Linked DNA regions of Rattus norvegicus. The protein of the gene in region 2 interacts with the protein of the main gene of each other region in a pairwise test. Links are inferred from orthologs where the notes say so. Each region holds a gene or a part of one and is shown on either strand. Other genes may lie near its edges. The genes, in order: Pnma2 and Enkd1.

Region 1 (16,620 bases), on a different chromosome or scaffold from region 2:
GGGATAGTTATTCTTCCCATCTCATTAGCATAGAGAAGGTGAATCTGCCTTCCTGATGGGCAGTCCACTAGCCAGGCGATGAACCTGTCCAACTGGATTAACTCATGCTGTGGTTAGCCTGCAATGGTATGTCTCTGCTTAGACCATTCTTCTGACCAGAAGGCAACGGTTTTCTCTGAATGAGATTCAGAAGAGCCCTGACTAAGGCTACTGTAAATTCTCCCCTCTGATGAGGTAACCCTAAAATCATTTAGGAGATGGGCTAAAATTGGGGAACAGATATAAGCCATTTTATCATGAAAAAATCTATGGACCTAATTCTACAGCTATCCACAAATGGATTAGTGTCTGGCTAAAGGTCCCACCCTCAAGTGTAACCCTTAGGAAGGGGACAGGACCAGAGAACCAGGGATACATTGGGAATGCCTAGAAACTGCCCGGCCTGTTTCTTTCCTTCCTAAGGTTTTGTTTTTATTTTATGTGTCTGGTCTGCATGTATGTGTATGTGCCACATGTGTGCAGTGCTTAAAGAGACCAGAAGAAGAGGTTGAATCCCCTGAAACAAGAGTTATTGATAGTTGGGAACCACCGCATGGGTACTGGGATCCCTTCAAAAGAGTAGCAAGTGTGTTTAGTTGCTGACGAGTAGCTCTTCAGCCCCTGCCTGGCCAGTTTCTATCTCCTGTTCACATTATCACTCCGTCTGAAGAGACTGACAAGCAACTTGACCAACCAAGCTGTCTGGCCAACCCTTGTGTAGGAAACTAAGATTCAGGAGTTTTAGGTATTGGAACTTAGTCTTGTATTTTTTTTTTTTTTTAACAATCTAGTTAGAGTCCCTCAAACTCCAGGTTTTTTTTTTTTTTTTTACCTCAGAAAGAAAAACAAGATGGAGCTCTAGTGGTAGTATATTCCTCTAATCCCAGAACTCCAAACTTGGAAGGCTGAGGCAGGAAGAATACCAGTTCAAGGCCAGCCTGGGCTATAAGGTGAGAACCTATCAAAACCAAAGAAAAAGGAAAAACAAAAAACCCCAAAACCTTCATTCCTAATGCTTGACTTCAGTCCTGCACTTTAAAGCAAAGTGCACTAGAATGGGATTAGCCTTGTCAAGCATTACCAGATCAGAAATGGAGTAGGGATGTCTGTCAGTTGTTCCTTGAATTGTCCCAGCGGCCAGAGCCCTCCCTTTCCCCTGGCTCCTCTCTGCTCTCGTGTTCAAAGTAGGCCTCTTCTTCTTCCTCCTCACGGACCACCTTCATCAGCTGCAAAAACGTGGGCAGTGGGCCCTGATCCTTCAGCTCCCGTAGCCTGCACCAAAGAACGTTGCTAAGGTTGGCTCCAGCCATGACCTGCTCCAGACGTACCTGGTCAGCAATGTTCCGGGGGATGGCCCTTTTTTCCACAGCTCTCCGGAGCAGAGTCTCCAGCCGGAGCACATAGGCTGAGATTTTCTCTCCTTCTTGCTGATAGGTTTTTAGGTATTTGACCTGTGAGGTTCTACGGCTCTCCATGCTCCCAAACACCTGCTTAAAGGCCTCCAGACATTCTTCTGCACTGATAGAAGGGTTGTCTGCTTGTACTATGTGCATGAGGTCCAGGGCAGGGCCACGGAGGCTCTCTGTCACCCACCTTTTCTTTTCTGTCTCAGGGATGGGCCACTCTTTGGCTATCTCAGTGGCCTGTTCCAACCAAACCTCAAAGGGCTCCTCCTCTGGGGCAGCTACTGTGCTCCCAGAGAATACTCTCAGCTTACAGTACCTCACAGGCAACAGAGGCCTCTGGGCGTGAACCATTGCCTGCCCTACCAAGTGGGCCAATAACTCGGGGGATGTGCAGGGTGTGGTGGCTGGAGACACTCCCTCATGCTTCAGGGCTCGGAACATCCCTGCGACCGTCTGCCCTTCTTTTTCTAGAAAGAGGTTCAGTCTTTGGAGAAACTCAGTGTCCTGATTAGGGGTCTTGAAGATCACTTTCCAGACACCTCCCTTTCCCTGCACCTCACTGGGAACCACAGACATATCCGTGTCCTCCATAAGTTCTAGTAAGACAGCACTGGTATTGTCTTGCTTCTGGAGTATTTTGCCCAGTAGCCGGTAGCTGCCCACACACTTCAGCGCCTCCTGTAGGACTGTCTGGACCTCAAGCTCACCACAGTTCACAGGAATGCCAATCACCAGCAGGGACTTCTGGACATCCACACCCATGATCTTGCACCACTCCTCCAGCAGGGCCACTGCCATTGTCCCAGGGTGTGCTTTTGCACTTGGTCTCCAAGCCGCTCAAAGTCTTGTGGACCAAATGCCTTGTCTCTTCACCCAGTAGCAAGAACCAGACGCTCCCTGTCTGTCTTCAGACCCACAGCAAGGCTGATGGTAGGTAAGGTGGGCTGTTGCTCTGCAGTACGTTTGCTGCTGTTTCCGAGGGTTTGTTGTAGCTGTGTGGTGTTGACTCTGGTCACTGTGAGGCACCTGGAACAACAGTCTCCTGGTTTCTGTCACCTCACCTCTCTCTCTAATCAGTGGGTAGGTGGTGTCCACTCTAGCACCCGACGCTGGGGACTCACACAGCAGGAAGCAAGGACTCCTAGGGAAACAGAGACTCACTTTATACATAGCCCTCTATGTCCCAGGGTACACCCACACTCTAGTGTGGGGTGAAACTAGGAGTGGACCAAGGGCTCTAACTCCCACTGTGCTTGTGCCTACCCCACTCTGGTGAATCCCCTTTTTTGCCGACTGTACTTTTTCCCTGTGTGGACCAGATAAAATCCAGTCTTTCCACCCTGAAAACCCCGTCAGTGAGCAGGATTCAAGACCTTCACCCTTCATCAAAAGGATGAATTAGCAGATGTAGTAAAATACCTGTTTATGTGTTCCAGAATGTTCTTCAAGAGTCAAGGAGCCACGTACTCAGCTTCCAGATCAGGAAGATGTCACACACCTCTATACAGTAGTATACATGTGTCTTACCTTCAGCCAAGTCAAGCTGTCCTGTTATACAAACATGAATAACATGTTTTTAGGCCTAAAATCTAGTAACAAAGATTAATGCCCTTATTAAAGACGTAACAGTTCAGTAAAGGATGAAAGAAATGACCGTCCTCTGAATTTAAAGGAGCAACCTAAACAGGACAGTGTCACTACACTTCTTTGAAGAAAGAGTTGTTCAGGGGATGCTCCTCAGTTAGCAGAGTGCTTGCCTGGAAGAAGCCTTTAGGCAGCCTAGAGTCCAATTTCAGCACCATACAAATTGAGCAATCATTGGTAATACATCCCTGTAATCCCCACACTGGAAAGCTGGAGACAGGAGGATCAGGAGTTTCAGATCATTCTTAGCCACAGGGAGTGTGAGCCAGTGTGGGCTACATGAGAACCATCTTTAAAAACAAATCCAACCGAATTGTGTTTGGTGGCACTCCCAGCATTTGTGAAGTTGAGGCAGGAGGATTGCAAGTTTGAAGTGAATCTGGGCTACATAGAGACATCATGTCTCAAAAGAAGACACAAACAAAACTAAACAGAATCCATTCAAACACTTAAGACTAACTAAACATGGGTATAGCAGAGAAAATTCAAATCTCAGAAAAAGAAGTACACTTTGGAGTTACAAGTCAGTCCTCTTCAGGTTTTGTGTCTAGCCAGACTTTTTCAAGGGCCACACATGGAAAGTCACCCATCCAACTCCCCCTGTGGTGCTTTGAATGAGAATGGGCCCCATGAGCTCATGTATTCAAATGCTTGGTCCTTAGCTTGTGGAACTGTTTGAGAAGGATTTCGGAGGCGGTGCATCACTGACAGTGGGCTTTAAGATTTCAAAAGTCCATACCATTCCCATGGTCAATCTCTGTCCCATGCTTGTGGATCAGATATAAGCTCTCAGCTACTGCTCCAGCACTGTACCTCCCTGTCTGCCATACTCCTGGCCAGCATGGATATGAATTTCCCCTCCGAGACTGGAAGCCCCCATTAAACGCTTTCTTCTATAAGTTGCCTTGGTCATGGTGCTTTAGCAAAGAAATAGAAAGGTAACTAAGATGTTTAAATTTAACATTGTCATTTAAATTTGACTGGGCCATTGAGAAAAAGACAAAAGGCAGAAAACATATTCACCACTAAGTGATGTGTGCCCCATGCTTGCTTTGAAGGGCTGGGGAGAACTAGAAGTGTAAAAGGGGATGCTCCCAGTGACAGTGTGACCCCTTAGCCACGAGGATGCCTTCAGAGAAGCAGCTTCCTAATTGGCTAAAAGTCACAGAGTGCCAACACTAGACTGTGCGTTCTTATGGGGCCCATGTGGTATGCTACCTGATATGTTGTAATTTGGAGCTTGGCCGTGCCTCTCAGACACTTGTAGAGGGTATGTTAGGGTGCTACAACCATCCCCCTTTGGCCTGGACATTTCCCATGACTCTGAAGGAGGCCATATGCCATAGATGCTGGCCTTAACTATGGCAGCAGTAGGAGCAGATCCACTCTTCCTGGAAGGTGCTGAAGACTGGGCCTCTGTGCCAAAACCGGGAGAGCAAGGTGCTACCTCACCCTGTGTCTGACAGAATGGGGGCCCAGAACTTCAGACCAACCCAGGCCTGAGATCTCCTTGTAAAATATGGGAATGAACTTCCTCCCCATATTCATTCGCTTGGAGTCACTTGGAGGAATGAGAGATGAAATGAGCACTGCAGGGGTAAGACTGTAGCTCAGTTGGTCGAGTGCTTGTCACTATGCACAAAGCCTTGAGTCGGATCCCCAGCACTGTGCAAACCAGACATCGTGGCGTATGCCCATTACCCCAGCACTTAGGTAGTGAAGGTAGGTGGATCAGAAGTTTAACTCACTAGGCTACATAGGGAGTTTGAGGCCAGCCTGGGGTTACATAAAGGACCTTTTCTCAGAAAGAGCAAAAACAAAAGAGACATACCAGGCAATGGTGTCATGTGCCTTTAATCCTAGCATTTGGAAGGCAGAGGCAGGTAGAACTCCGTGAGTGAGTTCCAGGCTAGCCTGGTCTACAGGGTAAGTTCCAGGACAGCCAGGGTTTTTACACAGAGAAATCCTATCTTGAAAAACTGAAACAAAACAGAAAACGAACAAACAAGAAAGAAAAACACAGCCAACCAATGGCACTGGATGCCCAGATCCAGAAAAAAATTGTCACGTGAAAATCCACTAGTCTTAAAGGCCCCACGTGTCTGGAGAGACTGCTCAGTGGTTAAAAGCACAGGTTTGGTTCCTAGCACCCACATGTTGGCTTACTCTGTGACTTCAATCCCAGGGCATCTGGCACTTTCGTCTGGCCTTCAACAGCCCCGGGCATGTACACGGTGCATGTGCATATATTCCAGCAAGATACATACATACATAAAATGAAAGTTAATCAAAAATAATTTTAAAACCATAAGTGAAACACCCTTAATGTACAAAGAGCCACTAAGGAAATATTCGGGTATGGAGGAAGAATGCAAGGATTTTGTATTTTTCTCACTAAAGGGGCCTACAGGATAACCTGTTGAAGGAACCAGGCTGGGGGGGGGGGCAGAATTACCGGGTAGTTCAATTAGACACATGACCATAGGCATAAGGCCTCCTACACTGGTGTTCTAACTTGGAAGGCAGAGAGGTTGAAAGACCTCACCTCAGGACTTTAGTGCAGCATTGACAATTCCAGTGGAAAATTTCTATTAAAATGTCAAGCACATCTGGTGCTAAGGTCCATCGGCTCTCCTCCCATGGAGTCCTTTCAGCTCCTACAGGATGGTGTGGGGCGTGTGTGTGGTGTGTGTGTGTGTGTGTGTGTGTGTGTGTGTGTGTGTGTGTGTGTGTGTGTGAGAGAGAGAGAGAGAGAGAAGAGAGAGAGAAGAGAGAGAGACTCCATCCATCAAGCTATCTCCAGCAACAGGGGGCGTTGGTATCCGCATGCAATCGTTCCCTAAGCTAAGGCTGACAATGGGTCTGATTTCTTGGTCACAACGCCCTGTGAGAACATGCTGCAGTAAACTGCCTCTCCTAGACCAAACCCATCCATCTTCGTGAGCATGCTCAGATCTCCATCCAGAACCCCTAAAGGATGGGCAACACTTCTTCAGGTTTCAGCCACTCGGGAAAAACGGGAGGGGCTTTAAAGCACTCCAGGAGATGGGACTAAGCCTCGAACCTGGCGGCTGTGGCTGAACCGTGTGCATGCACACACACTCCGAATCCCCACACTTTGGCTGCCCCACAATTCACAACATGTAACCTTCCCCAAAACAGCGGTCTACCTCTACCCTCCATACAGACCACTGCGGCCCCTAGAGAAGGATCATCGGGCAAACTCGCGGGGCCTCTGGCGCAGCGTGCAACAGGGGCTAGGGGAGCCAGACAGGCGACTTGAAAAGCAAGATGAGTCCGAGTGTGCTTCGGTCTGCTTAGACCCCAACCATTTTGGGTGGGAGTGAGGGTAACCAGGGTGTGTGTGGGGGGTGGGGGGGTGGGAGATATCAAATCCCGGACTCGTTGAACCCTTCCTGAGTCAATGGGCTACCTGCAGGACATGGCCCTTTCAGATAATGTTGAGGGTTCCCAGTCTCTATGCTGAGGCTCAATCCACAGCCTGCATTCTTTACTATTCCCTCTAGCACTACAGGGTTGCTGCTCCCCCCACCCCCACCCCCCACCCCCGGTCATCGCTTCCATTTGCTACGTCCCTCTGCTTTTTTGCCCCCGCCATGTTGTGAGCCCCACCTCCCAACCACAGCGTCTGCAAGCGGGAAGAACATTCTCCTTTCCTTTTGCTTCTTGCAGTGCACGCCTCGGCCCCTAGATCGTAGGTAAACTTAAGCATTGGTGCCAGAATACTTGGATGCCCTTGCTGTTTCCAGGGTCACCCCTCCCCAGCTTCCCAGAGCCTGCCGGCTTGGCCCTTGGCTCCCCCAACCCTCAGCCCTCACCGAGGCTAGGTGAGCTCCAGGGCCACCTTAGCAATGCAGTGAGGCAGGTTGGGGAGTGGGACTCTGGGCCAGGATCTGCTCTTTCCGGTCTTTGCCCAGCTGTATCTCTCGGACACTCACCCTGGCGCCGAGAGCGGTTTCTCCGGCGGCTGCTGTGCGTCCATTAGCGGGTGGAGTGGCCGCTTCACTTCCGGAGCGCGGGCTTAGGGCGCCCCCCACCCCTTCGTACCCTCCCTTCTCCGTCTCCTCCTTCTGGGTCCCCTCCCTTCTTGTCCCCTCCCTTCTGATCGCGCGTTCCGCCCGCCCCGCCCCTCCCCGCGCTGCCGGGAACTGGCATCCTCTGCCGCAGCGACCGCCCAGCTCAGATCCAACTTTGCTCGGAGGTGGCGTGGCGGCGCCGGGGGGCGTGGGCAGGGAGGGAGAAAGCCGGGTCAGGAGGAGGGACTGCGAGGGGTGGGTCGCCGGTTCGCCAGCCCTCCATCCTTTCTGTGCACCTTGCGGTAGGCAGGGAGTAGCAGCCGCGGCAGCAGCAAGAGGCTAGTGCACACCCAACCAGGGAGATTTAGGGAACCACGGACGGACGGACAGACAGACAGAACCTTCCCTAGCGCACCCCCAGCCATGGCCGAGAGAAAGCAATCTGGGAAGGCAGCAGAGGACGAAGAGGTCCCTGCCTTTTTTAAAAACCTGGGTTCGGGCAGTCCGAAGCCGCGGCAGAAATTCTGCGGCATGTTCTGCCCCGTGGAAGGATCCTCGGAGAACAAGACCATCGATTTCGACTCGCTTTCAGTGGGCCGGGGCTCGGGGCAGGTGGTGGCTCAGCAGCGGGATGTCGCCCACTTGGGCCCGGACCCGCACCGGCAGAGCCGGCGTGCCAGCGGGGAGCCATCTGTTGAATCGGGCCGGAAGGTGGAGATCCGGCGGGCCTCGGGCAAGGAAGCTCTGCAGAACATCTACGATCAGGTTGGTATGGGGGGTGGGTGGGAACAGAGTGCGGGGCTGCACCCTGGCTTGTCGCGGAGGACCGAGCATCCCCGCGTGGCAGCCAGCACGCGGCGCCAAGAGCTCTGCCTCCCGCATCTGCACGCGCACCGCGCCCTGCCCACCCCTTCACCGCGCAGGGTGCGGCGAGGCACGGGTTCGCCAGTGGGCGTCTGAGCGCCCACAAAGGCTGCCCTCATCTTCTTGTGCCTGGGAGGTGGGAGACCCGCGTCAGGGACCAGCTGATCCCCGGGCTGGAGGCGTCGAGTGGCGATTGGGGTGGACCACTGTGCTGTTCTTAAATCCTCCCGGGCGGCATCCGATTGCAGCTGCGTCTCAGTGCCCCACCCTTTTTTGATGCAGCTCAAAGAGAGCAGTGCAAGGCTGCAGTGAAGGCTAGAGGGCTCCCTTGGGGTCTGTAGGGACTGGGGCTTACATGGCTACTCTGTGTGGCAAGGTCTCCGCCTTGAGTGCACTCAGCACCATGGTTCTGAGCTCGGAGGTCAGGACCACGGCCAGCGCCCGGAGCCTCTAACCATTGCCTGGACTGTATTCTGCAGCCAGTGAAGAGCCTGGGAGGCTGTGATGTCACCGAGGAAAGCTAAATAGTCCATGTGGAGAACAAAGTTCTGCTAAGTGTCTCGGCAAGGGCTTCCCAGAGCGCTTCCCCAGCGCTGCTTGGGAGGCACTTTGGGAATGGGGAGAGACCGCACGGATTATATTCAAAGAGCCAAAAAGGAAAGGAAAAATGAGGGTGGGGAGGGGAGGACTCACATTTGAAGACAAGACTCCCCGATTGTGTTAATGGCGAGACAAAGAAGGCTAGCTTGGTTATCCTTCGTCATGGGAAATGTTTGACATGCTCCAGTAATTCCCAGCAGTGCACGTTTCAAGTCCAGGGGTCTTTTCACACACATTTCCTTCAGTTTCAGGGTGACGTTTATGCTAGTATAACATTTTTTTCACAGCTTTAATGCCTCAACTGATCGTTTACAGTGCATATGTCTTACACGTTGCTGCTTCAGTCCCATGCTCGTGGTGAAGATAAGAAACCAGTCTATGAATGACTTTATATTGAATCCTGTGTGCCCTCCCTTCTAGGGCAGGAGGAAGGTTAGTCCTAAAGGCGCTTCCTTTCAGACAGCCACTGGAGAAGTTGGGGATGGTCTGCACATGCTCACTGGGGGCTTGCCCAGCATTCAGGTTGTATGCTACAGAGAAAGCCTCCGGGAACAGCTCTGGGGGCAATGATTGGGGAAACCTCCCTCTTTCCTGACACAGCAGAGTGTTCCAGCTTTTGACTCTCCTAGGATCACTTCTCACCAAAGGAGGTGGCAGGGGTGGAGAGACTATTTCCTTTTATTTTTGAAAGATGAAGCAAGTAATCATTTATTTTACACCCATTCATCTTCTAATTTTTATATTTATATTTCACTAAGAGGCAACTGGAATCTAAATCCAAAAGGCTTGCTTTTTTTTTCAGGTGGTCAATTGAAGTAAATGTTTCTTTTTTTTCTTTTTTCCTTTTCTTTCTTTCTTTTCTTTTCTTTTCTTTTTTTTTTTAAGATGGAGTCTCACTCTGTAGTCCAGGCTGGACTTGAATTCATGACAATCCCAGTATCTCTTGGGCGGTGGCATTATAGATTTGAGCCACCATGATTACCAGTTTGCTCTGTTTGTCTCTCTGTCTGTCTGTCTATCTATCTATCTATCTATCTACCTACCTACCTACCTACCTACCTATCTTTCCTTTTCTTTCTTTTGTGGTGCTGAGGCCTGAACTCAATGGCTGTGCTTGCTAAACAAGTGTTGTATCGCTGAGCTACAACCTTAACCATATATTTCAATGTTGTACTAAAAGCTGGGTAAGTATAAAATGAGTCCGTATGGGAGTATGTTGGTGACAACCAACATCACATAACACTGAGTTTGAGTGAGCACTCTCAAGTAGGCAAGGTGTGAGGGTCATCCCAACAGCCTGGAAGGAGCAGGACCACACCTGGAGAATCTGTAAGAGAACATGCAAAGGTGGCAAATGAGGTGACCTCAGTGCCACAAAGGCAGCATGTTAATATTCTAGCCTGAAAGGCTGGAGAATCAGGAGCAATTGTTGGAACACACCCTAAATTTACAGAAACTCTAAATTGCAAAGCTGAGGCACTTGGAAGGGAGGGGGCAATTTGCAGACAAAAGCACCAGACCAGATCCTTAGGTAGTTTTAACCCTGGAAAGCCATCTCTTCTCAGCTTCCTGGTCATTAGTTCTAGACATTGCTTCTGGCTCGGCTGCCTTTCTACAACCCTCTCTGGTTCATTTATCACAAAAGGAGCATTCCTGCGGGGTTTTGTCATTCATAACCAGGGACATTTACCCAGCTTGGTGCTTACAGTATATGAATTTTTCATGTTTCACAAGAGGCTGTGCATATATGTATAATGATGGTGACTTCTGAGAGCTCAGCTGGTTCACTCTTTTGACAGAATTAGTGATTATTGCTTGTATTTAGCACATGACAAGGTGTCTTCAAGCTTTTGGAGCATTCTTCTAGAAGCCCTGGCACAGAGAAGAGTAGATGGAGTGGGTTATGTTCCCTTCTATCTTGAACCTGTGCTTGTAAGGAATCTTAAGGGCGGTCAGAGTTGCTGAGTTTACTGGCACACACCTTTCATCCACACCGTGGAGGCAGATGCAGGTGGAGGTGCAGGTGGAGATGCAGGTGGAGGCAGATGCAGGTGGACCTTGATGAGTTCAAGAGCAGCTTGAACTACACAGTGAGCTATAGGTCAGCCAGAGCTGCATGGCAAAATATTGTCTCAAAAAAAAAAAAAAAAAAGAAGCAGCAATTTGCTCATTTTCCACACCCCACCATGAATCCCACTGTTCTAGAAAGGCTTAGAAAGGGCCAGAACAGGGTCCTCAGCCACATCACTACATCACTTCTGGGAGATGAAAGGGGCTGGTGGATATATTCCCAAGGATGATGAAGCACCATGTGCAGTGTGAGCAGCCCATAACCAGAAAGCACTAGGAGTGGTTTGCCCTGACAGAGCCAATGGAGGGGTTGAGACTAAGGAAAGCTTCTTCTGTCTTGTTGCTTCTTTTTCCCATGTGTTTCCCAGGGGCCAGTTTGGGATGCAATGAAATTATATTGATTCCTAGCTGGGAAGGACCTGAGCCTTTTAGGATAAAGAACAAAAGGACAGCTGTTTTAGAGTGTTTGTAAGCCTCACACCACTGTAACAGAAAAACTGAACTGGGGTACTTATGAAATAAATAAAGATAGATTTGTTCAATCTCATGGTTCCAGAAGTTCAGGTCCAAGATCAGTTGCCTTATGGGTTTGGCAATGGGGGCAGACATGGGAACGAGGGGGAGAAAGAGAGAGAGAGAGAGAGAGAGAGAGAGAGAGAGAGAGAGAGAGAGAGAGAGAGAATGAATAATCCCCCATACCCACAATGACATTGGGACTTCCTATGAAATCCTACTTCTTAAAGATCTGTAGCACCTCCCCAGGGATCCAGACTTCACACACATACCTTTGGAGGACATTTAGTGCTTAACCACTGCACTTGTCAGTGAACATGGATCTTTGAGCTCCATCCACCCTTTCTCCTGGAATCCCTGTTTTCCATTATTCCATTAGGTCAGAATAATCCTCTCATCCTAGGATACTGTATCCTGAGCCTTTTTCAAGGATCTTTCACCCCATTTAACCATGAGCAACCTGTGCAGACTGCTACCAAGCTGGGGAAGTAACTGTCCCCTGGTCTAGGACAGGAACCAGTGAGTGGGCTCTGCAGAGCTCTGCTGAGCTTGGCAGCATCATGATGTGGCTCAAAAGTGTTCCATAAGATATTTACAGGAAACTTAAATCCCACTGTAGTGCTGTCTTAGGAAGCAAGGCCAATGAGCGCACCCTACCCTTACATTGTCAACATTGATGACACAAGGACCTGAGACTCTTGAGTTGTGTAGCATTTCCTCTTTGCCCATATGATGCTTTCTACCATGTCATATGGCAATGATGAAGGCTTATGGTGTAATCTTAGACTTCTCAGCCTCTGGATTCAAGCACCAAATGTAATTCTCAATCAGGACTGGGAAAATGGAATGGTTTAGTCAATAAAGTGCTTGCTGCACAAGCATGAGGACCTGAGCTGATCCTCAGTGCCAACAGAAAAACATGAGTGTGGGTGAGCATCATGGTGTATACCTTTAATCCTAACACTTGGGAGGCAGAGGCAGGCAGATCAGCTCTGTGAGTTCAAGACCAGCCTGGTCTTTAATATGTTCCAGAACAGCCTTAGCTACATAGTGAGATGGTGTCTCAAAAAAAAAAAAAGTAGTGGTTTATGGTGGTGTGTGCTTGCAATCTCAGAGCTGGGGAGACACCGCTGGGAAGATGTGTCTCATGGGCAGCACCCTAGTCAAAGGAGTAATCCCTGCGGCCCAGGAAGAGACTTTGTCTCAAAAGACAAGATGGATGTCCCCAGGAAGAATACCTAGGGTCAACCTCTGGCTTTCGCACACATGTACATACATGTACAGCACCACATACATAATTATGCATGCATATCTGCACATATGCATACAAGTAAATATATAATAGAATAAAATAAAGGACAAGGAAAATGTCCTTGTTATAAGTTATCCAATGTATGTATTCTTTTTTTTTTTTTTTGGTTCTTTTTTTCGGAGCTGGGGACCGAACCCAGGGCCTTGCGCTTCCTAGGTAAGCGCTCTACCACTGAGCTAAATCCCCAGCCCCAATGTATGTATTCTTTACAGTAGCATAAATTGGATTGAGACAATGACCACACCTATACAATGCCTTTTAATATTCCCTTCCATTCTAGGTCCACATCTCTTCTCCCCAAGTTGACTATCCCTCAGCTTTAGGTCCCCATTGACCCATGACAGCCTCCCTACCCCATTCTCTCTACTCCTTTTTCCTCTCAAGGGCACTGTGTTTTAAATTCCTTCTCTTCCCGTTTGTTCTTGCTTCTTCCATTCAACATCCCCAAATGTTGGCTACAGAGGAATCCTGGTGGTTCAACCTGCACCTCCGTGTACTTGGCTAATACCCAAGTTGTCCCTTGAGATTCTTGTGTGAGAATGGATGTGTGGTGGAAGTTTGGCTGGGAGCCTAGATCCAGGTCAGTAACTTGAAACTCTTAGTGGTCCTCCTGCCTCAGCCTCCCCAGTGCTGTCACTACTTCCAACTTTTGACATGACTTCTGAGGGTCAGCTTGCAAGGTCAGCACTTAACCAACTGAACCATCTCCCAGTCTTTTTCTTTTTTAATGCTTAACAGTAATTTTATAATTTTTAAAATTACAACACATCATTAATAAAAAGCTTGTTCAGTTAGTAGATGTGCAATTAACTAATTAATTGTAAGAGGAAGAAGTAGGATTCGCCAGCCTTGAACTTGAGGCCAAAGTTGAAGAACAGCCTGCTGGTGAAGCAACCACAGCTATCTCTCCAGTGTAGCTCAGGAGGAAGGCTATTACCATTGGCCCACCACCAGCAAGACCTGCCCCAACCGTTTGAAAATTGAGCAGTGTACAGATTCCATGCTAAGGAATTAAGGCTGGGCTGAGCCACCATTGTAACCAAGACAACAGTTTTCACGTGTCCTTTGACGCAACAATATCTTTCTAATTCCTTGAGAAAAGAGGGAAAGTCAGAATTGACCATTGTCTGAGCACTATAGGTGCTGTCTTTACCTTGAAGGCCAGAGCTCAAATGAGACTTCATCATTTAAGCAGGAAGAAAGGGCTTCACCCCTGAACCTCAGTTGGCAGTCCTGTGACTAGGGTAGAGGCCTCTACTCTTGGTCACACTCTAGCCCTAGCCTTGTGGCTAGCCAGATGTTCTGGCACATGCCTGCAGTCCCAGAACTTGGGAAGTGGAAGCAGGAGAATGAGGAGTTCAAGGCCAGCCTTGACCACATAGTAAGTATGAATGTAACCTGGGATTTTTCAAGCCGGTGAGGTGTTTCACGGGTAAATGCACTTTTCTGAGTTCAAGCCCTAGAACCACACACATGGGAGGGAAATCCAAACTCCTCCACGTTGTCACCTGAGTCCCATGTTACTATGGCTTACACACTTGCTCAACATTAAATAAATAAATACGATTTAAAGGTTTTTAAATGATCTTATCTTAAACAAACCCTAGTTCTTTGGCTTATGACATTAATATATTTCAAAACTAGGAATATGCTCCGAAAAGAGAAATGGACAAGTTCTTAAAGAAAACAAACAACCTCTCTCCAACCCCACCCATTACTTATGAATCATGCCTTGACTCTCGACTGTGACCTTCCACTGTTGAGTCTCCGTGGCAGCTTGTTGCATCCACATGACTTCAAAATCTTGCCTTTGATAGATGTGTTGTCACCATGTTGAAAATCAGGAAGGGGAGATTCACTGCTGTCTATTTACCTGACCATGAAGGCCTTGTTAATCTGGGAAGTGCATGGACAGGGCTTAGAATGGAGCTGTCCTAACCACCCTGTGAGTCTTCCGATGCGTTCTGCAGCTCAGTTCTGTGGACAGTGGTGTCATGAACTTCAAGGTGTGAGACAGTTCTCTTGGCAGAGTCCTTACATCCCATTGAGCACCAAAGCTTTATGGTGCAGGTCCAGGGGCAATGCTTGGTGCTTTCTGTTTTGTTAATCCTACACTGGTTTTATGAAGCCTGTGCTATTGTGGCCTTTAGTTTCTAATGGAGATATCTGAAATTCAAAGCAACTCCCAATGGAGTACAAAGGGTGGCATTTGAACCCGGGACTAGGCAACTGAGAACTTCCTAATCACTAAGATGCATTGAGCTGCTTCTGTCCCCAGCTCTTTGAGACAGTCTCTCACTGTGTAGCCCTAGCTGGCCTGGAATTTACTGTGTAGACTAGACTACCCTTGAACTCCTGGTGATCCTCCTGTCCCTGCATCCTAAGTGCTGGGGGTAAAGGTGTATACCGTCATGCCCGGCTCTGAGCTACTGTTTTTGTTCTTCATTTCTTACCCATCTAAAAAATAATAGTTACTGCAAAAATAGTCTGAGTGACAACATTTCTTTTACTAGTCACTCTCCAATGTCATTTATCAAATGGATTATTGATTTGTCTTTATGAATGTGCCTATAATGGATGATATTCTGTCCATTTATTTTAAACACCAGAAATATCTTCAACTACCCCTGGGACACAAGCCAGGACTGAACAGCATGAATGACAACCCCTTTCTAAGATTAGACACTGGATGACAGTCTGCCCTTTCTAGTTGTTGTCAATCATAGTCTAAGGGCAGCTGGGACCGCTGTAACAGATTACTACAGACTAGGCTTCTCGAACACCAGGCATTTATTCTCACAGCTTGAACAAGATTAAGCTCTTGAAGTCCAAGATTAAGATGCTTGCAGATGCCCTACCAGGGGAGAAGTGCTCCATATTCCTCACGCGGTGGAGCAGGTTCTCTGTCTGTTATAAGAACATTCATCTCACTGGGCAGTTCCACCTTTATGATCTAATGTCTTCCAGAAGTCTCATCTTGTGAAGCAGTCTTGCAGATTAGGGTTTAACACGTGGATTGTTGAGGGACTCAAACATGTAATCCTTAGCAGTCATGACTGATAAGTGAGCGGCAAGGGAATTGTTGACATTTGAGTTTTTTTAACCAATGAGAAGTATGTTGGCATAGGCCGAAAGCCACACCCAGGTGGTTCAGTGAAAAGGTCAGAGCCTTGCAGTTGAGGGAGAGAACCTGACACTGAAGGGCCTGGGTAGCCTTGAGGGGAGAAAGCGTGGCCTTGAACAGTCAAGCCTGGTGTAGAGGAGAAGCATGCCTTGAAGATGCTTCTAGGTTTGCTTTTGAACAAATACACACGACACATGTGGGTTTGGGTTCCCAGAGAGACCTGCCTACTAGTGAGAAGGCTGCATGAAGGGCCCTCTGCAACCTCAGAGCTGTGTGACCCACGGTCATGACCTCGTGTTGCCACTGAGTGGGCCTCTGTCTCTAAGGCTTCTTATCCATCCCCACTAACAGCCATGCCATTCCTAGCTGCTTTTTATAGCATGCAAGTTGCATTTTTACTCTTCAGTGGATGCCACCCAAACGGCCCAATTCCAAATGCTTTCATCACCCTCAAACTAAACCCTGTGCCCAGTAAGTGGACACTTCCATTAGACCCTCTGCCAACCATGGATCTGCTTTTATGTCTCCGTGGATTTGCCTATTCTGCACGCTTCTGTGTTCACAGAGTCAAACCGTGTGTGGCCGTTTGTTTCTTCCTTCTCTTAGTGAGTTCAGCATTGTTAAGGTTCATGTTGTAGTGTGCAGGGGGCTTTATGCCTTTTACTGGCTGAATAATAGGCCTCATTTTGCATGCTTTCCCATTTGTTCCTTAATGGGCATTGGGGACATTTCTGCTGGGTGTTTGTTTGTTTGTTTGTTTGTTTTGGCAATTTTGAATGAATTGGTGAGTCGCATTCTTCTCAAAGTAGAACCCATTCTCCAGTTTTTGGAGTTCTACCTAGGAGTGGAGCTCCAGGGCTCTGTGGTAATTCTGGGTTAGCTATTTTAGGAACATCCACACTCCTTTACATTTTAGGTCTACCCAAGTGTGAGAGTTTCCATGCCTGTGTAGTCTCTCCAACACTGGTCATTTCTCTCTTTCTGTGGAATCTCTTGGTGGTTTTATTCCCA
Region 2 (14,527 bases):
CCATGTGATCAGACCTTTTCAGCCCCCTTGTAAGCCCTTCCAAGAGAAAAAGGAGATTTCTGTGTTATACATAACTCTAGGGAGGAGGGCCTGTGACTTGGCAGAGAGGAGACAAAGGGGGAACTGTAGAACATCTGAGAAATGTCAGTAAATAAGGCAGAAAAGAAAAGTGACATCATGGTGTGTGGTCGTTTGTTTCGGATTGGGTTTCTTTAATAATGGAAGGCTTGTTTATGGCTGTAGGTCAGTTGTTTTCTCCTTTCTTCATGGGCTACCCATCAGCGAATGACTTAGCTCATGGCTGAACCCCCCAAAGCTCCCCAAATGTCTGCAGCAGAGAGGATATGAGGCTCCCTGTTAGGCTGTTGCCAAACCTGCCGTTCCAAGAAGACAGGCGCCTGGGACCCCTAGCCTGGATGTCATGAGAGGTTCTTTTATTTTTTTAAGATGTATCATTTATTTATGTGTACGTATGTGTGTCTGTGTTTGTGTGCACATGAGTTCAGGTGCCCGAAGAGGCCAGAAGATGGCATCAGATTTCCTGGAGCAAGAAGTGAGGTACCTCATGTGGATTTCTGGGAACTGAACCTTTAACTGCTGAGCCATCTCCAGTCCCAGGGTTCTGTTCTGGAAGCTATAGTGTAGCTGGCTCCAGGAGAGCCCTCAGGGGAGGAGCTTAAGGAGGAAGGGGCCTGTGCCATTCCTTTGGAACAGGTTTAACTGGCACTACTTGAGTCAGCCAGCAAGTCACCAGCTGTGCTTATTAACTGGCTATCGTAGATAGGGACAGGGACGGGTCAGCTGGGTGGGGGCTTGAAGGAGGACGAATCTGCCCGCTTTGTTTCCCTTGTCAGTCTTCTGGATTGTGAAGTCTCAATGAAGTCTGTTCTTTCTTCAGTTTTCCTCCTCCTTATCTGGGCTCCTTGCCAAAAAGGCCTGGGGAGGCCCTTCCTCTTCCTCTTCCTCTTCCTCTTGGCCCCACTTGTAGAAATCATCGGACCTATTTCCCTGCACTGTCTGATTTCAAATGTTGTCTTTGTGAGGTAAAGTTGGAGGGCTGTTGCTGTGCTGGTCCTCCAGAGTAAACCAAGTTCAAGGCCTGCCTGATTTATATAGAGTATCCAACTCAGCCAAGAACATGTCTCAAAACAAAACAAAAAATATCCATGCCCATTATCTCTGACCAGGAGGAGCAGAGAAGCAAAGTTGCTAGGTCAAGACTTTAGCTCCTCACCTCATACTGCTCTTATTCCAACACTGGGCAAACTTCTCTCAGACACTTAGGTATTGACCTGCAGCAGGATTTAGCCTAGCCTTATCTACGAAGGCTCTGCACAGTGCCCACCCTCAGGAAGCTAACAAGACTGCCCGTTTCTAGTACGCTCATCTCAGCTGTCCTTGTCTGTTTAACTAATATGCCAAGATTCCACCTAAGTTGAGAATGGCCAGGAAGACCAAAGATGTACCTGTGAAAAAGTGGTTTGCTGACCCAGAAGTGGTGCATAGGTTTTATAGAAAGTTTATGCTCGGAGAACTACTCCCAGTGTTGGAGCAGGTGGTAAGTGGACATTGGGCGGGACTACTTTTATGAAGACACAGTGACTTTGAGGGCACTTCTCAGAGTCTAGATCCACACCCCTGACATCTTTCCATCTCTCTGGAACAAGAACTTGCAGTCCCCGAGGATGAGGTGAGCTGAGCCTTTATGGCTCCAAAGCTTGTGGCTGAGAGCCCAGGGGTGAGCCAGCCAAACTAGTTCTAGACTTATCCTGCAGCGCCCCCTCCTGGAAGAATGCAGCAGTTCCCAGGACTATACTTTTAGGTAGAAGTTTCTTGAGTTAGCTGCCTTTGATATACCCTAGTCAGATGAGAACTTTCAAGTTTTCAACCTCAAAGCAAATCAAGGCTTTTTACTTACCCAGTCATGATATCCATTTCCTACCTCCCTCGACAACTCCGTCTTCCTTGTTCTTTGCTTCATAAGCAACCTCTCAACAATGTCAAGCTATGAGAGAAGCAGACCCCCAAGATACCATCTGTACTCGGAGGGACGGAGAACTCGGCTGTATTGTATCAATCATCCCCGGATCTGTTGTCTCAAGCACTCTCTATTATTGATTGGATATACAGTATCACCTTTGGTCATTTTCCTGATTGGTGGCTTTATGTTTTATATATTACAGGTTTCTAGCAAAAAAATATTTTTACCCATTTTTTAAAAACAAGCATATGTATAGAAGCAGATGTGTAGCAGGACATGGGAGGGCAACTAAGATGTGGTTCTCAGAATAGACAACATTTTATCTTCAGCATAGGCTACAGTAGGCCTGACTCCATTCTCTCACTTAAGTCTCTTACCTTCTTTAGGCTACAATAGTTTATCATCGTTAGGACCCCCGCTTGTTCACAACCCTTCACACTTGTGAAGCCTGAGTCCCTCCTAGCCATGTCCTCTACTTCTACTACACTGAGAAGCCCTCCTGTGGGCATCTTCCACACCCGGACAGCATTGTCCCTGGGTCACCTCAGGCCAGAAAGGCTCTTAAGGAATAAAACTATTGGCATCGCTTCTCCCCAGGGTAAATGGCACTCATCCTACCATCGGTGCCCCTCCATGAGCATAGCAACACTTGTCCCGACGGCCCTGTTGGAATGATGCTAGGAAAGTGGACCTCGCCCATCATGCACCCTGCTAAGACATGCCTGCAGGACTGTGCCTCAAGAATTGTTCTTTAAGCAGAAACATGAACCATCTTCATAGCACTAGGTCCCTGCCACTCCAGCCCTGGAGAATAGAAGGAAGAAATGTTGGTATGCTTGAGTCATGCCACAACAGACAATCTTTTGGTTCACAGATGGTGTAGAACTCTGTGTAGGACAGGACCCGAGTTTAACATAAAGTCATATCTCTGCAGGCATCTTCTACTTCAGTCATAAAATAAGGAAGTCAAACTCAGTCATCTAGCTCTGAAACATCCCAAATCATGAGTGGTCATCTCAGTAGGCAAGACTGTGTCTGCATAGCCCCTGTGGGCAGCGTCACCTGATGTCATCATTGCAGGAGGCAGATGGAGACACATGTCCCAACATTATGGCTTCTCAGTGACCTTGCTGTGGGCCAGAAAGCATTAGAAAAGCTGGCGATGTGGGGAGCAGCCTGAAATGAAGCTAGGAAAGTGGACCATGTGAATTCTGTTGTCACCTGCATCCGCCCAGCTCATCTCCATCAGTGATCGTGCTGGGCTAGTATTCTAGAGGCCTGGCATGAGTTGGTGGGCTCTCCATGTCTTTAGCTGCTTTGTACCGGCCACCTCTGTATCTTCCTCTACTTTGGCCTCCATGCCTCGAGGCCTTTGATGGGAGCCTCCCACTAGGTAGGGGGACCCAATGATGTGTGATCTAGGGGTACACAGTCTAATGAAGATATAGAACTCACAGTGACAGTGGGAATAAAAAAAATGCTACAGATTCAGGGCAATGCAGTGCTTCCTGACTTAGCAGAAAGAGGGTGTGTGTGTGTGTGTGTGTGTGTGTGTATGTGTGTGTGTGTGTGTGTGTGTGTGTGTGTGTGTGTGTGTGTGTGTATCAAGGTCATGCACCAGGTAGAAGGATGAAGGAAAAAAAGGCATAGTAGACCAGGAAAATGAAAGCAAAAAAAGACCAGGTTGATCAAGGAATTCCACGGAGCCATTAAATAGTTTCAAAGCAGCTTTGAAGAAGAGCAAGATGCTAGAGGGACAGAGACATCAAGAGTACAGGTACTCTGTGTGACAGCAACATCAAGAGTGCAGGGACTCTGTGACAGTGACATCATCAAGCACTCTATATACAGCAGGATTTTGGTATGAATCTGTGAGATCAGAGATCAGAGGGAGGGGAACTTGAGAATCTTACCCAGAGATGTCTGAGGTCCAGGCCCTGGTGCTGACCCTCTCAACAGAGAAGATGGATTCTCTTGTAGGGAACAGGGTCAGTGGTGACAGCAGAATTTTAGCTTGGGACAGGAAGAAATGCATTTAATGCGGAAAACTCTGTCAAAGGTTTTGGAGGACCAGTAGTTTTGTCTCCACAAATCGCTCACTCAGCTCTTTCCAGAGAGCTGTCTTTGAGACCAGAGGCAGCAGTCCTGCAGTGAAGGCCTTACAGCTCCAAAAAATACATTCATTTACCACCACGCATCACCAGGGACCATCTGAGGGCAAAGTATAGGCTGGCTTCTATGACAATGGGTAGAGAACAGTTTTAAAAATACTTTATGTACTTGAGTGTTTTGCCTGCATGTTTGTGCACTACAGTATGTACCTGGTACAGGAAGAGGCTGAAAGTGGGGGTTAGATATCACCCAAGACAGGAATCAAGAATGAGGTATTGGAAAAAAAAAAAAACAAAAAATAAAAAAAGAATGAGGCATTGGGAATTGAACCTGGATCCTTTGAAGGAACAGCTAATGTTCTTGGTTTGTTTGTATGGTTTGGTTTGGTTTGGTTTGGTTTGGTTTGGTTTGGTTTGGTTTGTTGAGAGGGTGTGGGGAGGGAGGATTTCTCTGTGTAGTCTTGTCTGTCTTGGAACTTACTCTGTAGACCAGGCTGGCCACTAACTCACAGAGCCCCAACTGCTTCTGTCACCTGAGTGCTGGGTTTAAAGAAGTGTGCCACCACTGCCCAGCTTAGCAAGTAGTCTTTTTTTTTTTTTTTTTTTTTTTTTTTTTTTTTTTTTTTTTTGGTTCTTTTTTTCGGAGCTGGGGACCGAACCCAGGGCCTTGCGCCTCCTAGGTAAGCTTAGCAAGTAGTCTTAACTAGAGCCATCTCTCTATTCCCCCTCCTTTTTCTTCCAGCTTTTCAAGAAAGGGCTTTTCTGTGTAGTCCTGGCTGCTGGGACCAGGCAGATTAGCCTCAAACCTAGAGAGTCACCCGTTTCTGCCTCTGAATCCTAGGATTAAAGGTGTGCATCACCAAGCCTGGCTCCTTTTCCTGGTTTTTTAAAGACAAATCCTCATAGAGTACACCCTGGCCTTAAATTTACTATGCAAACGAGGCTGGCCTTTAACTCATTGTACACCTGTTTCTACCTCCCAACGGAAAGGGCAAAGTAAGGCCTAAGCCTAGCTCATCTGCTACAGATATGCAACACCACACCTGGTTAGTAACAAACCTTCAGACAGAAGTAAGCTGAGCTGAGCTGCACTGAAGATTGTCAGATCCAGGCCAGAGGCCTGGACAAAGCAGAATCCAGACAAACTGCCTGGAAGGGGTTGAGACCAACTGAGATACCTGGAAAGGACTCTCCAACCTGGTGCGCTACCTTCGGACTATGCAATGTGCTCCAGGTTTCCATATTTGTCAGCTGTCACTCGTGCTATGTCGAGCTTTGGTGATACAACCATCTTGGCATTGTTTCTGCTCCCTTAAGTAATCCCATTAAAAACCATTGGTTTTGGGCTGGAGAGATGGCTCAGCAGTTAAGAGCACTGGCTGCTCTTCCAGAGGTCCTGAGTTCAGTTCCCAGCAACCACGTGGTGGCTCACAACCATCTACAATGGGATCCAATGCCCTCTTCTGGAGTGTCTGAAGACAGCTGCAGTGTGCTCATATACACAAATAAATCTTTAAAAAAGGAAACATTGTTCCCTGTAGTTGGACTTTGGTGGTGTATGTTCTTTGATCTGCTGTGGGCTCCCAGTCTAGAGTGAATAGACATACACTCTGACACAAGTCTGGGTAGTGCTCAGGAATCTGTCGTTCAAGGTCCCCACTGTTCCAAATAATCAGTCATCCTCCCTTCTCCCCAACCTCTTTCCTGATTCAGGCATCATATTTGAAGAATCAGTCTCAAAGGGGGTAAATGTTTATTTTCAGTGAGCGTAAATTCTCAAGTATAGACAAAAGACTAAATCCCTTCTTCCATCTGATGGCTTAGGCCTACGGGCTTAAAGCCATAGTTTAGGCCTAGACCCGGACATTCTCAATGGGTCACTTGTACTGAGGGGACAGCGGGGGCACAAGAGGGGCAGCACAGACACTCAACATCTTGTCAATATCCACTTGGGTTGTCTTATCCACCTCAGCCTTGAGGCTGCCACTCACCCTTAGACTAGACAAACCCCCAGGCTCCTCTCCAACCTCCTCTACCAGAGGAGGAAGATTATGGGTCAGTGGTGCTAATGGATTAGGGCAGGGCAAAGCAAGGCCTAAGCCCAGCTCACCTGCCATGGGCAGCAAGGTCTGCAGCTGCAGCTGCTCCACACCTGCCTCCTCAGGAGCCAGGGCTAACTCCGACTCAGGCTCAGCCTCCGGTTCCCTGTCCCCATCCCCTGCCTGATTCAGCTCTGGGTTGCAATAGTTGATGTACTGGTACAGTGGCCGCAGGCGCTGGGCTTTTCCTGCAAGAACCCAAGGCACAGCAAAGGCTGGAGCACCAGGCTGTGCCACGTCAGACTCAAAGACAAAGGGAAAAACAAAAGCCCAGGGATTGCCACTCACGCTCCAGCCCCAAGGTCTCTGTGGGTGCAGATGCGCTGGCCACAGCTGGGGGCACAGGAGCCCCTACACTCTTGCGTTTCTTGGCTTTTTTGTGCTGTTTAGATGACAGCGAGGATTCACTGTGGCTGCCTTCTGGCTCCTCCTTCTGTAGCAGCAGCCCTGGTGGCAGTTCGGCCTCTGCCCTAGGATGGGCATGGTAGCTTTGCCCTGGGAGGGCTGGGGTACTCAAGCCTGGGACAAGAGGCCTGAAAGAGGTAGGCTTCAGTCTTTGGTTCCTGTGTCTTGAACCTAGGGCTTACCCCTGCCTGTCCACCAAGCCACACTAGAGCTAGTTAACTGTCCATTTCTTAGTGAAGTTCCAAACCCAACAGGGGCCCAGCGTTCAATGGTAGCTAAGTCTCCTACAAGACTAAGAAGCCCCAAATCCACACCCCCGCCCCAACTGTTCTAGAGAAACAGGAGCTGGAGGTGAGGGCATTAGAAGAAAACAAGGTTCTTTGCCTTGAAGGAATTGGGATTTAGGAATCTCCAGGTCTAAGACCCACCTCCCCAGCCTTTCCCCTTGAAAGCCCTCTCACTTTCTCTTGGGCCCATGAGCTGGCCTCACGATGGATGATGTAGGCTTGGGTCCTCTCTCCTCTCCTGCTTCCACCCCTGGATTGAGCCCTTCCTCTCCCAGGTTTATTCCTTCCTCCTGGAGCTCTGGCTCTAAGCTGTGTCCTACTGGACACCTGTCTTCACCTGGAGTGCTGCAGGTCTCGTGTGCTGGCACCAGACACTCTTCTGTTCCTGGACACTAGAAGACATACATAGGTAACTGATAGCCCATGGTCAGGCAAAGCCCAAAGCTGCTGCAACTGGGGCATCTCTCTTGGTTTGGGGGCCTCTCCTAACTACATATTGGCCACAGAATAGGAAATCTTAGGTCCCTCTACCTGCAGGACTTGGCCTGGCAGTTAGAAGGTTGGGTCACCTAGAGTCCTGCTCTTCTGCCCTACCCCTCCTCCTCCTGAGCTTTGAAATGCCCAAGTCACCTCAGGGATCTCTGCAACCTGGGCTAACCCTACTGCTGCCCCATTCTGGGCTTCTGGCTGCCTCTTGGCCCCTGCTGAGGCCATGGCAGGAATCAATGCATCCCTCGACGGTTGCTCAGAGAAGACCGCAGGCCCAGAGCAGGGCTGGACCGGTGCTCAGTGTTGGTAGGGGAGACAGGTTGAGAGGTAAGGATCCTGTTGCGACCCGAGACTTAGACTCGCTCCTCATCTGGAACTACAAACCCCAGAAGGCATTTCGCCTTAGTCATTTGACCCCTGACCTCAGGAAGCCATTTGTTGCCAAGCAACAGCAACTCCTACCGACTTGCTACAGTTGGCGGTAAAACTGCTGCAGTGAGAGTCCACGCTGGGGCTTTGCAGGGGGAGGGGCCGCGAACCCCTCAGGGCCGTGTGCTAGTCGCGGGGCGGTGGTACGGGCTGAGCTTAGGAAACGAGCGGTAGTCGAGGGGTGGGGGTCAGTGATGGGGGGTACCACGGGGCTACAGAGCTCGGGTGGAGGGTGGAAACACCCGACAGGGATTAGAGGGGACATTTGCACAGCGCAACAGGTCCTGATGCACAGTTGCAGGGCTACGGTAGGATCATGTGCGAGGGCCCGTCCCGCATCTCTGGACCCATCCCCCCAGACCCTACTCTCTGCCCGGACTACTACCGGCGGCCGGCCTCGGGTGAGTTGCGGGGTGCCGCGGCGGGGCGAGTACCCCGCCCCACCTCTGAGCACGGCTTTCCACCGCGTCTTGCTCTTCAGCCCAAGGACGCCTGGAAGGAAACGCGTTGAAGCTGGACCTGCTGACTTCAGGTCGCGACCTGGACTCCAGCCCTCCTCGTGGCCCTCGCATCAGGCCTGGAGCCCGAGAGATCCTAGAGCGTGGCCAGCGAGGTGTGGGGGACGTGCTGCTGCAACTGGGGGGCATCTCCCTTGGTTCAGGGGTCTCTCCTAAGAGTAAGTCCTTGCAGACGGGGTATTGAGGCATTCATAGGTCAAAAGCAGAGATTAAAATAGGGTGCTTCTTAACCGCCTTGAACCCATTCAGTTAATGTGTTTTTCTGGGTCTTAATTTCTCTAGCCTAAAAGAAGGGCAAAATACTTCTTGCAGGATCAGAGTTCATCCTTCTGCAGAGAGCTCCAGCTTCAAGCTTTCACACCTTGATAGAACAGTTCCCTTAATGCCTACTTTGTGCCAAGCCCTATGGTTGTTAGGAAAACAAGGTTAAAAAGTATGGGAGTTGTCCCAGGGTAGGGTAACACCCAAGGGGGGCTTCCCCTTCACTGAAGAGAAGGGAAGGGGGTAATAGGGAGCCGGATATGACAGGGGCAGGACTGGGGTGGGGGTTACAATTGGGATATAATGTGAATTAAAAAATAAGGGGCTGGGGATTTAGCTCAGTGGTAGAGCGCTTACCTAGGAAGCACAAGGCCCTGGGTTCGGTCCCCAGCTCCGAAAAAAAAAAGAACCAAAAAAAAAAAATAATAAATAAATAAATAAATAAATAAATTTTGGGGAAAGAAGTAAGGGAGTCAATAAACAAGACAGGACATATGTATAATATACTCGGTGATATCATAAAATGTAGAAGGTAATCACAATTTCTGTGTAAGGGAATAAGCTGCTAATGTTGCTGTGTGTATGGCATTCAACTTCCATGTAGAGGTCTTGGTTGTATTTAAGAACTTTGTGTGTGATATTGGAGATTGAACCCAGGGCTTCTCATATACTGGACATCTCCCAGGGGTAGGGTGTGAATCTGTATGAGATCTAGTCTGAGTTGCACAGCCATTCGTAGGGCTGTTCCTAGCAACATTCCTCCCCTCCTCCAGGGAAGGATCCAAAAGACCATGAGAAGGAAAACTTGAGGCGGATCAAAGAGATTCAGAGGCGATTCCAAGACCAGGAACGCAGCCGGGAGCAGGCCCAGCCCAAGCCCCTGAAGGCACTGTGGCGCTCACCCAAGTATGACAGTGTAGAGTCTCGAGTCAAGGCCAGGATGAAGGTATCTGTCTCAGGCAGGCGGACATATCCATCTTGGCCAAGGCAGTTATATCTAATCTAACTTACGGGGTGTGTGTGCGTGCGTGTGTGTGTGTGTGTGTGGTGTGTTCACAAAGACTAAGACATCTGGTGGACCTTCTCTGAGGAACTGATGGCATCAGGGCAAGTGAGGATTAGGCTAGAGGAAGAAAAGGTTCCCCAGAGATGAAACCCCACAGGTAGGTAAAAGTTCTGGGCTCAGGGAGTAGGGGCAATGGGCATATAGATATAATTCTATTTGTAGGGGGAAAGCAGAAGGTTAGAACAGAAAGCCAGTTAAATACATATCTGAAAGAACTACCTAAGTTACTTATCAACATGTGATATTGGAGATTGGATCCTGGGGCACACGCACACTGGGTACTCATAAAATTATATCCTCAACCTTCCTACTAATTCATTCTCAGTTTCTCTGTCTCTATCTCTATGTTTCACGTAGCCCAGGCTGACCTCAAGTTCTTTGACTTTCTGATGCTCCTTTGTTCACCTACCAAGTGCTGGGATCAAAAGTGTGCGCTACCACGCTGCTTTCTCTCTTCTTTTTCTTTTAGTTAATTACTTTTTTGAGATTAAAAAAGACCAAAATTATGTGTCTGGGTGCCTGCATGTATGTCTGTGCACCACAGAGACCAGAAGAGGGTGTGGATCTCCCGGAACTGGAGTTACAGAGAGCTGTGAATTGCCACATGATACTGGGAATGGAAGCCACATTCCCGGGTAGAACATCCAGTGTCCTTAACTGTTGGGTGCTATCATACCCCACCACCACCACCACTTCCACTGCTACTTTGTTTCTAGACAGGGTCTCACTGTGTAGCCTAGTCTAACTTCAAACTCCTGTAGCCCAGGCTGGCCTTGAACTGGCATAATTCTCCTTCCTGTCTTAGCCTCCCAGATGTGGACAAAATGGGTTTGGACCACCACTCCCAGATGATTTCTCTCTGAGTTGGTAGCTTGCTGTTTAGCCTTAGGCTGTCCTTGAATTCTCTCTGTAACCTAGCCTGGCCCCAAACAGTTACTTCTGCGTCAGCCTCCTGAGTCCTGGGACTGTAGGCATGTACCACTATTTCTTGCAACATTTTTTTTCCCCTGAGGACAGAGGCAGTGGTTAGGTTTTGGAGGTAGTTACTATTTCTCTATCCAGGGACCCTGAAAGAGACTCAGGATTGAGAGAAAAGACAAGGTCACCTGAGATTGTATTTAGGCTGAAGCATCTGTGGCACTGCCAGGGGGTGGGACTGTGTCCAGGAAGCAGATGGATACAAAGCTCTGGGTCTCATTGGTGAAACCAGAAGGTTATTGACAATTAAATTGAGGACAATGGGGCTAAGAGAGCAGCATCCTTTGGTCTTGAGGGCTTGGAGGTAGCCCTCAGTAATGTGGGGTACTAGAGCTAGAGGGAGGAAAGGATGCTAGTTAAATGGGGCCAAAGGGAGATAGCAAAGTAGTCATTTTTTAAGACTGTGAGAAATAAGCATATTTAAATGTTGTTGAGAAGTTCCTTCAAGGAGGAGGCCCACAGAGATGAGCATAGAAAAGTTCTCAGAGGAAGGAGGGACAGAAAGGGGAATGGTCTTGTGGTTTAGGACCCTGACTTCAGACTCCCTGATTCTTCTGCCGTACCCTACCTTCCAGGAGCTTGGCCCTGCCTCTGTGACAGAACCTGCCCAATTTCTGCGGGCACACTCCCGCTGTGGCCCTGGGCTCCCACCATCCCGTGCCTCCAGTCCTCAGCTCACCCTGCCAGGTTCCAAAGCTAAGGTGAGAGGGTCTATGAGGATTTAAAGGCCATCTTCCAGGAGTCCTGGGGGCAGGGTAGGTACAGAGATACAGTCTCCACCATGCTTGCCATGTCTCTGCAGGGACCAGGCTTAGGTGTGGACTTCATTAGTCACAATGCCCGAGCTGCCAAGAGAGCCCCCCGGCGCCATTCCCGCTCCCTGCAGGTCCTTGCACAGGTTCTGGAACAGCAGCGGCAAGCCCAGGAGCACTACAATGCCACCCAGAAAGGCCATGTTCCCCATTAGTAAGTAGGTCTTGTGGGCTGAGTGCAGTGAGGGAATCCTGTGGAGGGCGAGAACCATTCTGCCTTGGTGTCATCAACCTGGGCCTGTGCATTCACAGCTTGTTGGAACGCAGGGACCTGTGGCGGAAGGAAGCTGAAGCTCGAAAGCGTAGCCAGCCAGACCCTTCCATGCCTCCTGGCCACACGCTCATGCCTGAGAATCAGCGGCTAGAGACACTGAACAATCTGCTTCAGAGTGAGTACATGGGCAAGGGTGGCTGAAAGGGAGCTCCTGGGAGAACCATGCATGCCTACCCAACACTCACACTTCCCATGCCCCCTTGTAGGCCAGAGCAAGCTGCTTCGTGAGCTAGTGCTGTTACCTGCTGGGGCAGACTCTCTGAGAGCTCAGGGTTACCGTGCAGAACTGGACCGGAAGTTGGTGCAAATAGAAGAGGCTATCAAGATCTTTTCCCGACCCAAAGTCTTTGTGAAGATGGATACCTAGCCCCTCCCCCCCTTTGTGGGTAGATTAATAGGGAGATCCATGTTTAGGATCAGCTCATGGCTGCAAAGGGCAGACTCAAGCCCTGTTATAGCTCCAAAGCATTGGGGTGGGCAGAATCGAAAGCACTTCGTAGTTACCAGTGGCTGCAGAAGAGCCACCAGCCTCCCAACTTCTCTGTCAAAATTAAACCGTTTGTACACAGTGGCTGTGTTCCATAGGAGCTGTCTTAAAAATGCCAAGCCCAGTGGGCCTCCTGCTGCATCATCAAAGGAAGGTCTCTCCCATGCTCTTATTATCCTTCCTGTCTTGTGCCCACAGAAGAAGGCTGACTTACAGGGTCAGAAGAGGTTGGGGCTGGAACACAAAAGGACCATGTCTACATTTGTAGAAAACCTTTAATGTTCACCAGGTTGAGCGGGCTCTGTGAGCAAGCTAATCTCCCTCCCCAACTGGAAAGTCCGGGCAGCAGTGACAAAGGCTGCACCTTTGCCTGTCAAAGGCTGAATCCACTAACATCACCTCGCATGCCATTCCCCCAGCCAGAATTGGCTTGCTCTCTGCTATCCAAGGAGGGCAGAGAGCTGCCAGCACTAGGAAGTAGGCAGCCAGGTTGCAGGTCCCAGCACAGGGGTCCCTGAGACAGCCCATTAGAACAGGGAGGGTGGCGATTTTCAATGACCGGGTCACTGTTGTCATCGTCACTGTCAGGATCAGTAGGCCCAGGCCCTACAGAAGAAGGCCCTGTCAGACGCCCAGATGCCCCTCGTACCACATTATTACGCTGGTTGGCAGGCTTGACAGTGACAATGAGGTTATGGCTGTTGGCAACCATCATGTCCGTCACTTGGTCCAAGGTCTTCCCGGCCACCTCAATGCCGTTGACCTCGAGGATCTCATCACTGACCGCCAGCAGCCCTGTGCTCTCAGCCAGGCCCCCACGGACCAGGCGGGAGATGAAGATCCCAGGTACCCGCTCCAGACCCTGAGGAGCCACACGAACACTCATGCCATCTCGAATGTAGAAGCCCAGGGGACGGTCTGAGCCATGTTTGTGCAGTCTCACACGTCGATGGGTCTCAGGTAGTAGGTCCACGTCTATAACTGAAGACACCTGGCGGAAATCTTGGGGCAAGCTGATTAACAAGGGTGGCCTGGTGCGCAGAGGTGCCACTGGTCGTAGCAGGAGCCCTTTCTTGCGCCTCTGTAGAGAGTTGGAGGCAAAAGCCAGGCCACTCGAGTCACCTTCTGCTGCAGGAGAGGGGGGTACTAAGATTAGAGACTCTTCTCCCATTTGGGCCCATGCTATGGACAATGCCACTATTTTCCTGCTCCTTGGAGGTCAGACCAAGGGCAGAGGCTGCAGAATGTAAAGTCTGAGAGCCCTGGGTATGGTCTACCCTAATATACCTGCCCTGTCACCCTACCCCAAGGAAGCTGCCCACTGTACCCCATCCTCACCCCGTTTCTGGACCAACAGGCGCAGAGGTGGGGGCCCGCTGGCCAAGGCCCGGTGCAAACTGTCATCATTGGTGAGGGGCAGCAAGTCACCGTGAGCATCCGTATAGCCAAGCAGCACATCCAGGCCAGGGATCTGGTGTACCACACACAGCAACCGCGAGAACTCCTGAAAGCCTCTCACTGAAGTGCGGGGTAATGCAAAGCGTCGGAACTCGGCGTCAAACTGGAGGCGGGAGGGAAAGGGGAGAGGAGTGTCAGGACAGAGCCCAAGCCCCTTTCTCACTACAGGACTGAGGCTGTCAGGTGAGGGAAAGAACTGCTGCAACAGCTGCAGCCTTAAGCTTAAACCTCAGCTCCAGTACAAGGGACACTGTCCAAGGTCTTCTCTTGCTCTCCACATACCCAGGCCACAGTGGGACACTGGAGGTCCGTAGTGGGAGGGAGGATGCAATGAGGGGAGGCAGACAGAAAAGCAGAATAGGAAGTGGAGGATGGAGGACAGAAAGAGGTGATGGAGACCCAAGGAGCTAGTAAGGGAGAGGAAAGGGAATTGGGAGTGCCTAGCGCAGTGGCCAGAGCCGAGACCAGAGAAGCCCTTACTTTGCTCTTCACCTCGACGATGCTATCCGGACTGCGCGCCGGAGTCCTCTGCGGCCTGGCCATTGCAGGGCCTGCCGGGCGGGGGACAGTGCCCCACAGCAGCCCGCCGAGGCGCAGGTGCACAGCCTGGCCCGCTGGCCCGAGCCGCCCCGCCCCTGGCGGTAGCACTCGCCCCGCCCTCCCACCCAAACCATGACGTCAAGGGGGACGCGACACCAAGAAACGCGGAGTCTACGTTTCCTAGGAAACGGAGACGGAGGTAGAGAGGGCTTCCTCTGTTCTTACGTCATTACGCTATGGTTCGAGCGTCCCAAAAAGGACTCAACCAATCCGAGGGCAGAATGAGGGAATTAACATTTATTAAGTTGTCTATGCTGTCATTTCCATTGGTC

What was found.
Region 1: the proteins of Enkd1 (region 2) and Pnma2 interact in binary tests that used the Homo sapiens proteins (3 or more experiments, as listed by UniProt). The two-hybrid records come from large-scale screens. The link is inferred for Rattus norvegicus from reciprocal best matches to the Homo sapiens genes ENKD1 and PNMA2.

The regions. Positions count from the first base shown.
Region 1 is NC_086033.1:45,277,995-45,294,614, reverse strand, and holds the start of Pnma2 (paraneoplastic antigen Ma2), read right to left. Parts: upstream 7,136-16,620; 5' UTR 7,049-7,135; intron 5,747-7,048; exon of another isoform or gene 5,635-5,746; intron 2,994-5,634; 5' UTR 2,865-2,993; intron 2,587-2,864; 5' UTR 2,244-2,586; coding exon 1,149-2,243; 3' UTR 1-1,148. Other genes in the region: Dpysl2 (dihydropyrimidinase-related protein 2), read left to right, coding at 7,550-7,891.
Region 2 is NC_086037.1:50,499,717-50,514,243, reverse strand, and holds Enkd1 (enkurin domain-containing protein 1), read left to right. Parts: upstream 1-7,827; 5' UTR 7,828-8,117; coding exon 8,118-8,202; intron 8,203-8,282; coding exon 8,283-8,477; intron 8,478-9,353; coding exon 9,354-9,526; intron 9,527-11,199; coding exon 11,200-11,325; intron 11,326-11,426; coding exon 11,427-11,590; coding exon of another isoform or gene 11,591-11,591; exon of another isoform or gene 11,592-11,594; intron 11,595-11,688; coding exon 11,689-11,825; exon of another isoform or gene 11,826-11,831; intron 11,832-11,916; coding exon 11,917-12,077; 3' UTR 12,078-12,281; downstream 12,282-14,527. Other genes in the region: C19h16orf86 (uncharacterized protein C16orf86 homolog), read right to left, coding at 5,970-6,406, 6,480-6,724, 7,058-7,275, 7,514-7,597; Pard6a (partitioning defective 6 homolog alpha), read right to left, coding at 12,571-13,325, 13,536-13,758, 14,136-14,198. UniProt on the Homo sapiens protein: Microtubule-binding protein which regulates microtubule organization and stability. Promotes the stability of astral microtubules and facilitates the proper orientation of the mitotic spindle.